2 linked regions of the Macaca fascicularis genome follow. The protein of the gene in region 1 interacts with the protein of each later gene in a pairwise test. Links are inferred from orthologs where the notes say so. Each region holds a gene or a part of one and is shown on either strand. Other genes may lie near its edges. The genes, in order: PEX16 and PEX19.

Region 1 (4,496 bases):
TTTGGCTGGGCGTTCTTAAACGGATGCTTTCTTCATCTGGTGATATCTGGTGGAGAGGATTAGATAAAATAATGCATTACTGCCGGGCGCGGTGGCTCAAGCCTATAATCCCAGCACTTTGGGAGGCCGAGACGGGCGGATCACGAGGTCAGCAGATCGAGACCATCCTGCTCAAGCCTGTAATCCCAGCACTTTGGGAGGCCGAGATGGGCGGATCACGAGGTCAGGAGATCGAGACCATCCTGGCTAACACGGTGAAACCCCGTCTCTACTAAGAAATACAAAAAATAGCCGGGCGAGGTGGCAGCGCCTGTAGTCCCAGCTACTCGGGAGGCTGAGGCCGGAGAATGGCGTGAACCCGGGAGGCGGAGCTTGCAGTGAGCTGAGATCCGGCCACTGCACTCCAGCCTGGGCTACAGAGCGAGACTCCGTCTCCAAAAAAACAAACAAACAAACAAACAAACAAACAAACAAAACAAAACTAGCCGGGCGAGGTGGCGGGCCCCTGTAGTCCAGCTACACGGGAGGCTGAGGCAGGAGAATGGCGTAAACCCGGGAGGCGGAGCTTGCAGTGAGCTGAGATCTGGCCACTGCACTCCAGCCTGGGCGACAGAGCGAGACTCCGTCTCAAAAAAAACAAAACAAAACAAACAAACAAAAAGCATTACTATTACTATTCTCAGGGTACCATAAATCCGCTGGCCCACTGCTTCACCCTTGCCACGCCCCTTTCCCCGCAGCCAATCAGCGGCTGCCCCCCCAGAGCGCCGGTCCCCTCCACCACTCGCCGCAGCTCTCCCGATGCCACCCGTTCCAGGGAGGCTGCTTGGTTTGGGAAGGTATTCCGCAGGAGTCGCCCCCTCCCTTGGGGCGCAGCTGAGGACTGCGAGGTGCGTCCGAGGGCCGAAAAGCTGAGATCGATTCTGAGTTCAAGGATCAAGTCTGCCCTCAAACCATTTTACAGATCGGGAAATCCGAGACCCAGAGAAGGGACACTCCCGCCCAAGGGCCCCCTAGCCGAGAGAAGCCCGGGCCAGGGCTTTCTTCGCGTATGTGGGAATGCAGGCGCGCGCCCGTGGGGGGCACAGTGCATACGGGAGCTGGGGCCGAAACCCAGCACTAACTGTGCTGTCTAGGGGATCCAGACGGCACTAGGGGGCTGGACTCCTTACTGCCTGAGTTTCCCCAGCACTACCTTTGTTGAGGAAACGGAGATGGGGATACTGGCCGAACGCGCGCCTTCTGAGACACAGTCCGACTGCATTTAGACGCCCGCATCTCTCCGAATCTGATCGAGGCTCCTTTTTTCAAGAACCCGCTATCTCCCAGCCCTTTAAAGTCCGGCCCTGCCGTTCGAGTCTCTCGGCGTTCCATTGGAAAGACTCGGCGCTCCAGCTCCCTTCTCTAGAATGAACTGCTCTGACTGCCGCCCAGCTGTCCCGGAGTGTTAACTGCGCAGGCGCAAAGGCAGCCAACCCAGTAAACGGAAGAGCTGGGTGCCGATCACACTGGGCGGGTCAGGGGCGGTGAGCGTGCTAACCAATGACTTGAGGGAGTAGGGGGCCGGGTTTGGGCCCTCAGTTGCTAAGCGCTACCCGAATGGGAAGTGGTTCAAGAGATGGGGTGAAGGGTGGTTCACCGGCTCTTCAAGTCACCAGCCTTCTGGCCCGCGGAAGTTAAGCAACCCAGAGGTGGGCCTAAGACCGGAAGCAGGAAGGAGGGCGCAGGAAGCAGGGCGCCGCAGCCTGGCGTACAGTCCTTCCGTGGATCTGTTGGTGCCGAGGGCAGGATGGAGAAGCTGCGGCTCCTGGGCCTCCGCTACCAGGAGTACGTGACTCGTCACCCGGCCGCCACGGCCCAGCTGGAGACGGCAGTGCGGGGCCTCAGTTACCTGCTGGCAGGTGCCACCTTGACCTTTGATCCGTTCCTTCTGGGCCCTGACCTATGACCCCAGTGGCCCCCTTCCCTGCGGAGTCAGGGTAGTGATCGCTGTGCTTGAGAAGACCCATCCAGGTTCCCAAAGGGCGTAGGGAGGGGACGTCCGGGACCTGAAGACTAAATGTAAGGCAGATGCTCACTCACACCTCCCTCTGTACCCTCTCCCCAGGTCGATTCGCCGATTCGCACGAGCTGTCAGAGCTGGGTGAGCCGGGCTCTGGGGGTGGGGGATGGGGGATCGGCTGCCTGGCCCCAGGTGAGTTCCCCAGAGCGGGTGAACACCCCAACCCGAGGTCCTGGACTGCCCGTTAGACTCCTTGTGCTATGACTGAATCGGAACAAGGTCTGTTGTTCACTGTCCTGGGCCTTCCATGTCCCTAAGTCAAGAGACAGCCTGGGGACCTTATCTGAGTATTCACTACTGGCCAGGAGCTGGGCTAAGTACCTTTCTTACCTTTACTTGTTAATCCTCCCTACAGTCATATTAAGTGGAACTGTTATTGTCCTCACTGTCCATTTAAGGAAGAAGTTCAGTGAGGTTAGAGAACACTTACTGATGGTCCCAGAACAAAGATTCGAGTCTAGATCTCCCAGATTCCAGGATTCGCAGATGGTAACTACCTCAAGAGTGTTTGTCCAGTGACTGCTGTCACAGTCCTGAAAGAATGAAGTGGGTTTTGAAAAGCAGAGGTGAGGCCAGGTGCAGTGGCTCACGCCTGTAATCCCAGCCACTTTGGGAGGCAGAGGCGGGTGGATCGCCTGAGGTCAGGAGTTTGAGACCAGCCTGGCCAACATGGTGAAACACCGTCTCTACTAAAAATACAAAAATTAGCTGGGCATGGTGGCAGGTGCCTGTAGTCCCAGCTACTTGAGAGGCTGAGGCAGGAGAATTGCTTGAACCCAGGAGGCAGAGGTTGCAGTGAGCCGAGATTGTGCCGTTGCACTCCAGCCTGGGCAACAAGAGCAAAACTCTGACTCAAAAAAAAAGAAAGAAAGAAAAAGGAAAAGTGGGCCGGGCGCGGTGGCTCAAGCCTGTAATCCCAGCACTTTGGGAGGCCGAGACGGGTGGATCACGAGGTCAGGAGATCGAGACCATCCTGGCTAACACTGAAACCCCGTCTCCACTAAAAAATACAAAAAACTAGCCAGGCGAGGTGGCAGGCGCCTGTAGTCCCAGCTACTCGGGAGGCTGAGGCAGGAGAATGGCGTAAACCCGGGAGGTGGAGCTTGCAGTGAGCTGAGATCTGGCCACTGCACTCCAGCCTGGGCGACAGAGCGAGACTCCGTCTCAAAAAAAAAAAAAAAAAAAAAAGAAAAAGGAAAAGTGGAGGTGGAATAGACCCTCAGGGACAGGCTGCCGAGAGAAAAAAGGCCAGGAGGAAGGACCGCATATCTGTGGCAGTTCAGAGAGCAATGGGCAGTTGTGGGCAGCTGGATGACCAGTGCCATCCGACAGGGCAGTAGCTGGCTTGTCACTGAGATTGACCCATCCTTTCTTGGTCCAACCACCCTTGTGAGATCATGTTGGGGAGAGGGGAGTGCTGAGGAAGTGGGTGGAGAGGCAGGCTGGTTTCCACATAGTCTGTGGGTGTCTGAGCAGAGCAGGTGACATGTGATCCCTGCAGCTCTGGGCAGAAGGTGAGAGGGATGGAGGTTGCAGAGCCAGCCTCTCAAGGCCACACTCTACCCCTCAGTGTACTCCGCCTCTAACCTGCTTGTGCTGCTCAATGACGGGATCCTACGGAAGGAGCTTCGGAAAAAGTTGCCTGTGGTGAGAATTCTGCCAGGAACAGGGTGGGAAGCATGGGGACTCAGGAATGAAATAGTAGCAGCTAGCCCATGCATGCAGCACGTGTCTCATGGAGTATGAGACAGGCCTATGTCCATCTGAGCCTCAACCATCTCATTAGGTGAGCTGTAAAGTGTGAGTATTCCATCTTAGATGAAGAGACTGTCTCAGATGAAGAGAGGTAGAGTCAGCTGTTTCAGGTCCCCCAGCCTGTTAGTGGTGGAGTTGGTGTTTGAACTCACACCTGCACAGTTAGTCTTGGAAAGGGGCAAGTCCACATCTCTTGTCAGAGAAGCTCCCTCCTAGGAGAAGGGCCTGGGACAACAGGCAGCCCCCTGACTTCTTGGCCTGGGGTTCTTGCAGTCGCTGTCCCAGCAGAAGCTGCTGACATGGCTGAGCGTGCTGGAGTGCGTGGAGGTGTTCATGGAGATGGGAGCTGCCAAAGTGTGGGGCGAAGTGGGCCGCTGGCTTGTCATCGCCCTCATCCAACTGGCCAAGTAGGTTGGGATTGTGGAGGGGGTCCTGGGTCGGGGTGACGCAGGCCAACTACACAGATGGTGCTCAGCAGAGCATCCCTGACCTCCCGCCGGCTAGCCACCTCCCCACAGCCCTGACATACTCCCCGACCCAGGGCTGTACTGCGGATGCTCCTGCTGCTCTGGTTCAAGGCTGGCCTCCAGACCTCACCCCCCATCGTTCCACTGGACAGAGAGACCCAGGCACAGCCCCCGGGTGAGCTACTTCCCCAAGCCCTAGAGTGGAATGGGCT
Region 2 (4,576 bases), on another chromosome or scaffold:
GTAAGTCTTTCTGGTGCTTGATGCAGTACTCAAATGTGTGTTTGGGAAGCTAAGCATGAAAGTGATGAGGTGACTTAACACAGGAATTTTTTTCATTTAAAATTCTTACCTTGTGTCATACTTACTGTGTGTATATCTCATCATACCTGCGGCTCACCTCCACTTAGCTACCTTACAGCAGGGGGTGGTCCTGATTTATCTCTTTGTCCTTGCTGTGCCCAGAACAAGACCTAAATAATAGGTGCTCTCCAAGTGCTAAAACAGATCTGTATGTGAAACAGTTGCTACATTCTTACAGATCTGAATAGAACAATTCCAAAGGAGGAAAGGGACGTCTAGAGTTACCTCTATCTGAGCATCCCCGGTGTTCACTCAGTTGGAGGTTGGGTTCTGTGTGGAGAAAAGGAGATTGGTCAGGGAAAGCAAGTCTATTACTAACTACTACATTCTAATTGCCCTGCTCAGTCCAAGGTCCCAGATGCTCTCTTTCTAACATTGAGTTCTAAGTTCCTGGCCCTGTGTCCTTTAATCAAACAGTTCTAATAGAGAATAGGAAATGAGAGATGCCACTAGATTGGGCAGACAGATGTGCCTGATTAGGGACTGCAAGAGCAAAGAGTGGCCAATGAGTGCCTACTAAGTTTTAAACCCTAGCCTAGGAGTTGGGCTTTACAGCAGCGAAGACAACAGACGAAAATCTTCGCCTTCATAGTGTTTAAATTCTGCACGGTGGGGAGCGGAGAATAAACAAGCACGGTAGATAATATGTCAGATAGTGTTCAGTGTTAAGAAGAAAAGGAATGGCCAAGTAAAGTGTTTCAGAGAAGATAACATTTGAATGAAATAATGAAGTGAAGCCGGGCGCAGTGGCTCACGCCTGTAATCCCCAGCACTTTGGGAGGCTGAGGTGGGTGGATCACCTGAGGTCAGTAGTTCGAGACCAGCCTGGCTACCCAGACTGGCCAACAAGGTAAAACCCCGTCTCTACTAAAAATACAAAAATTAGCCTGATGTGGTGGTGCATGCCTGTAATCCCAGCTACACGGGAGGCTGAGGCAGGAGAATCGCTTGAACCCAGGAGGCCAAGGCTGCAGTGAGCCAAGATAGCGCCACTGCATTCCAGCCTAGGCGACAGAGCGAGACTCCGTCTCAACAAAAGAAGTGAGAGAAAGTAGTATGTTATGTACCATAATTGTCATATCAATCATATATGTATAGATTCTGGTTATTTGTAGGCAGTTTGTCTCAATCTAGCCTACTCATAGCTCAGGAAGAAATAATGAAAGAGCTTCGCCAGGTAATTTGGGAAGTTGAAAGGAGTCCGGGCCTCTAAAACCAGGCAGAAAATAACACTATCTTATCCTTAATTCTGTGTTTCACAGGCGAAAGGGGAAAAATACCCAAAACAGAAACTCAAAGCTTCCTGGCCCTTTAAAAATGGCGGTTCCGCACTGGCCAACAATACCATTGGTTGCCCGAGGCAGAAGAGGGCAGGAACGAAGGGGTGGAGGGCGTGGCGGCGCCGAGGGGTCCCGCCTCCTACGGCAAGTCGGAGGTAGCAAGATGGCGGCCGCTGAGGAAGACTGTGGTGTCGGGGCAGAAGCAGACAGGGAATTGGAGGAGCTTCTGGAAAGTAAGAGCCCATAGTGGGAAAGGCCCGAAGAGGGCAGTTGTGAGGACCCATTCCGGGCGTTAAGTGAACCTGAGGTATTAGGGACAGGGCGGGAGAGGATCTCCAAAGGTTAAATGGGGGCGGAGAGTCTGACCGCCAGCCCCCCAAAAAATCTCTGGGTCATCCTGCCCCACCTCCGCGACTGGAGCTGGGGAACTCACCTGGGGTCCCCCAGTGGTCCAGATTGTGGATGTTTCCGCAGGACGGCGTTTCATGATACCTCTCCAAACTCCTCTTTCTTTAGGTTACTAAGTTCTTAAAGTCCGACTTCAGCAGCAGCAGCAGCAGCATTTGGTTCTTGTTGGGTAGCGAACCACGCACTCACTGATTGCTTACATTAACTCCTAGCAAGCTCGTGGCCCATGCTGCTGCGCCTCGTCCTGCCTTCCTTGACATGAAAGACACTTTTCTCCTCGTAGTCCTTTTCTCTTTCTCTCGTTAGGCCCCTTAACAGTTCTTTCATCTTGTTAGTAGCTCAAGCGGACTCCTTTCCCTTATTTTGAGAAACTGAGGATGTGGCGATTTCAGGGGAAAGCAGTTCACCCTCCTGAAAGACGGTGGATGTTTTCTTAGCATTACTGTCCACTCCCCTGTTGGCTTCCTGCCCAGAGTGGGGCCAGTGCTCTCTCCCTGGGCCTGGCAAGCAGAATGGTGGTGAGGACACAGGCTTTTCAGGGCAGAGGTGAATTTGTAATCTCTTGCTCGATCACAGAGATGTGGGCAGGCAGAAGAATGAACAGAAACGCTGAGGAGTGCCAAGTGACTGTAAATTAGCCTACGGTTATCTGCAAAGATCAGACCAAAAGGAGCTCTAGGAGGTTGTGGGAGAGCACTAAACTGGAGAATAAGAGAAGATAGTTTAATGCCTTACCATGGAATGTAGTATGTGGTCCCTCAGTCTGTGCTGGTACCAGTACCAACAAGAAGCTGGGTGGGATGTCATGTGCCTTCTCACCAAGTTATTCCTTTTAGAGCTCCAGAGTGAGTTCAGAGGGATGAGGACATCTGTGTTCTCTACTCCTGTTGGGTATTTATTTGTATGGGATTTCTAGGGAATCATTAGGTTGTGGCAAGGGAGACACTATAGATGGAGATGTCTCTGCAGAAATTTTTAATCCTCTCCTCCCAGCTCTGAGATGGATACTTGTTCCACCGTAAGGGATTTCTTGCCTTTGCTCACAATAAATTAGGTAATCTGGAAGGAAGTAGGAGGCTCATTGAGGGTGGTCTGGGGAGGTGGGGGCCTCAAGGCGGAAAATTGAGGAAAGTTGGCAATTTGAAAAATCATATTCGTAATGCTTTGCCCAGAAACCACCCAGCCTTGCTTGCATCCTCATCTGTCGCCAACACACACACCATGTCTCTTGTCTCTGAAGGTGCTCTTGATGATTTCGATAAAGCCAAACCCTCCCCAGCACCCCCTTCTACCACCACGGCCCCTGATGCTTCGGGGCCCCAGAAGAGATCGCCAGGAGACACTGCCAAAGTATAAATTCCACCCCCTGAAGGGATGGGGAGGGGATGGGCATGCAGCTCTGAGCAGAGGTTGGGCAGGCCCCTATGGGCCAGAGGGGAATGGGGGAGGGTACCTTGGCCTCACATTGGTGAGTGCTCTTGCCAGCCTCAGTCCTTGTGAAATAAGGACTTGAGGTTGAGTGGAGGAATCTCAGAGTTCCTTGAAAAAATAGTAGGTTTAAATGGTTGGATTGGTATGCCATCCCATACCCTCTTTCAAAGACTAGATACCTTTTTTGCTATTCTCATTAGGAGCAGTAGTTAGAGTGTCCAGTGGAAGTGGGTAGGAGGGAAGTGCATTTCCCATAGCTACTGCCTGTGGCTTCTATCAGAGGCCAGGTGCAGTGTAGTTCTAAGTAAGAGATGCATTTCAGCCACCCTTCCCCCGCAGGATGCCCTCTTCGCTTCCCAAGAGAAGTTTTTCCAGGAACTATTCGACAGTGAACTGGCTTCTCAAGCCACTGCAGAGTTCGAGAAGGCAATGAAGGAGTTGGCTGAGGAAGAGCCCCACCTGGTGGAGCAGTTCCAAAAGCTCTCGGAGGCTGCGGGGAGAGTGGGTGAGGAGACCTTAGATACATGGAAATATCTGAACAGATTCTTAAGTCTTTGTTGCCTGAAAACACCAGAATTCTTAGTGAAGTTGATAGTAATCATGATGTCACAGCCATGGAATGGGTAAAGGCAATGAGAGAAGGGGTGGAAATCCCTCTTTTTTTTTTTTTTTTTTTTTTTTTTTGAGACGGAGTCTCGCTGTGTCTCCCAGGCTGGAGTGCAGTGGCGTGATCTCGGCTCACTGCAAGCTCCGCCTCCCGGGTTCACGCCATTCTCCCGCCTCAGCCTCCCAAGTAGCTGAGACTACAGGCGCCCGCCACCACGCCCGGCTAGTTTTTTGTATTTTTAGTAGAGACGGGGTTTCACCATGTTAGCCAGGATGGTCTCGATCTCTTGACCTCGTGATCCACCCGCCTCGGCCTCCCAAAGTGCTGGGATTACAGGCTTGAGCCACCGCGCCCGGCCGAAAATCCCTCTTAATGAAAAGGGGCGAGATAGGTTAGAAAGTAATAGAAAAGATTATTCAAAACTGACCATTTGAAAGGTCACAGTGTTATTGTGGGTATCATCATGGAGAATAAACTGACATAGAGTCCGTGTATTAAATAGATGTATGAAAAGACTATCAGGATAACCGCAGTTTTCCCAGATGGGGAGTGATAATGATTCACTAGTAAATGCTTCATATCCAAGCTGGTAACCAGTTCAGTCTAGGCAAGGAAACAAATTCCTAAATGACGCTGGCTTTTTAAATCTCTCCTAGGCAGTGATATGACCTCCCAACAAGAATTCACTTCTTGCCTAAAGGAGACACTAAGTGGATTAGCCAAAAATGCC

What was found.
Region 2: the proteins of PEX16 (region 1) and PEX19 interact in binary tests that used the Homo sapiens proteins (3 or more experiments, as listed by UniProt). The link is inferred for Macaca fascicularis from reciprocal best matches to the Homo sapiens genes PEX16 and PEX19.

The regions. Positions count from the first base shown.
Region 1 is NC_088388.1:19,944,140-19,948,635, forward strand, and holds the start of PEX16 (peroxisomal biogenesis factor 16), read left to right. Parts: upstream 1-1,478; 5' UTR 1,479-1,789; coding exon 1,790-1,901; intron 1,902-2,107; coding exon 2,108-2,194; intron 2,195-2,460; exon of another isoform or gene 2,461-2,551; intron 2,552-3,632; coding exon 3,633-3,709; intron 3,710-4,090; coding exon 4,091-4,224; intron 4,225-4,358; coding exon 4,359-4,459; intron 4,460-4,496. UniProt on the Homo sapiens protein: Required for peroxisome membrane biogenesis. May play a role in early stages of peroxisome assembly. Can recruit other peroxisomal proteins, such as PEX3 and PMP34, to de novo peroxisomes derived from the endoplasmic reticulum (ER).
Region 2 is NC_088375.1:100,773,916-100,778,491, forward strand, and holds the start of PEX19 (peroxisomal biogenesis factor 19), read left to right. Parts: upstream 1-1,551; 5' UTR 1,552-1,563; coding exon 1,564-1,633; intron 1,634-3,048; coding exon 3,049-3,158; intron 3,159-3,578; coding exon 3,579-3,744; intron 3,745-4,502; coding exon 4,503-4,576. UniProt on the Homo sapiens protein: Necessary for early peroxisomal biogenesis. Acts both as a cytosolic chaperone and as an import receptor for peroxisomal membrane proteins (PMPs).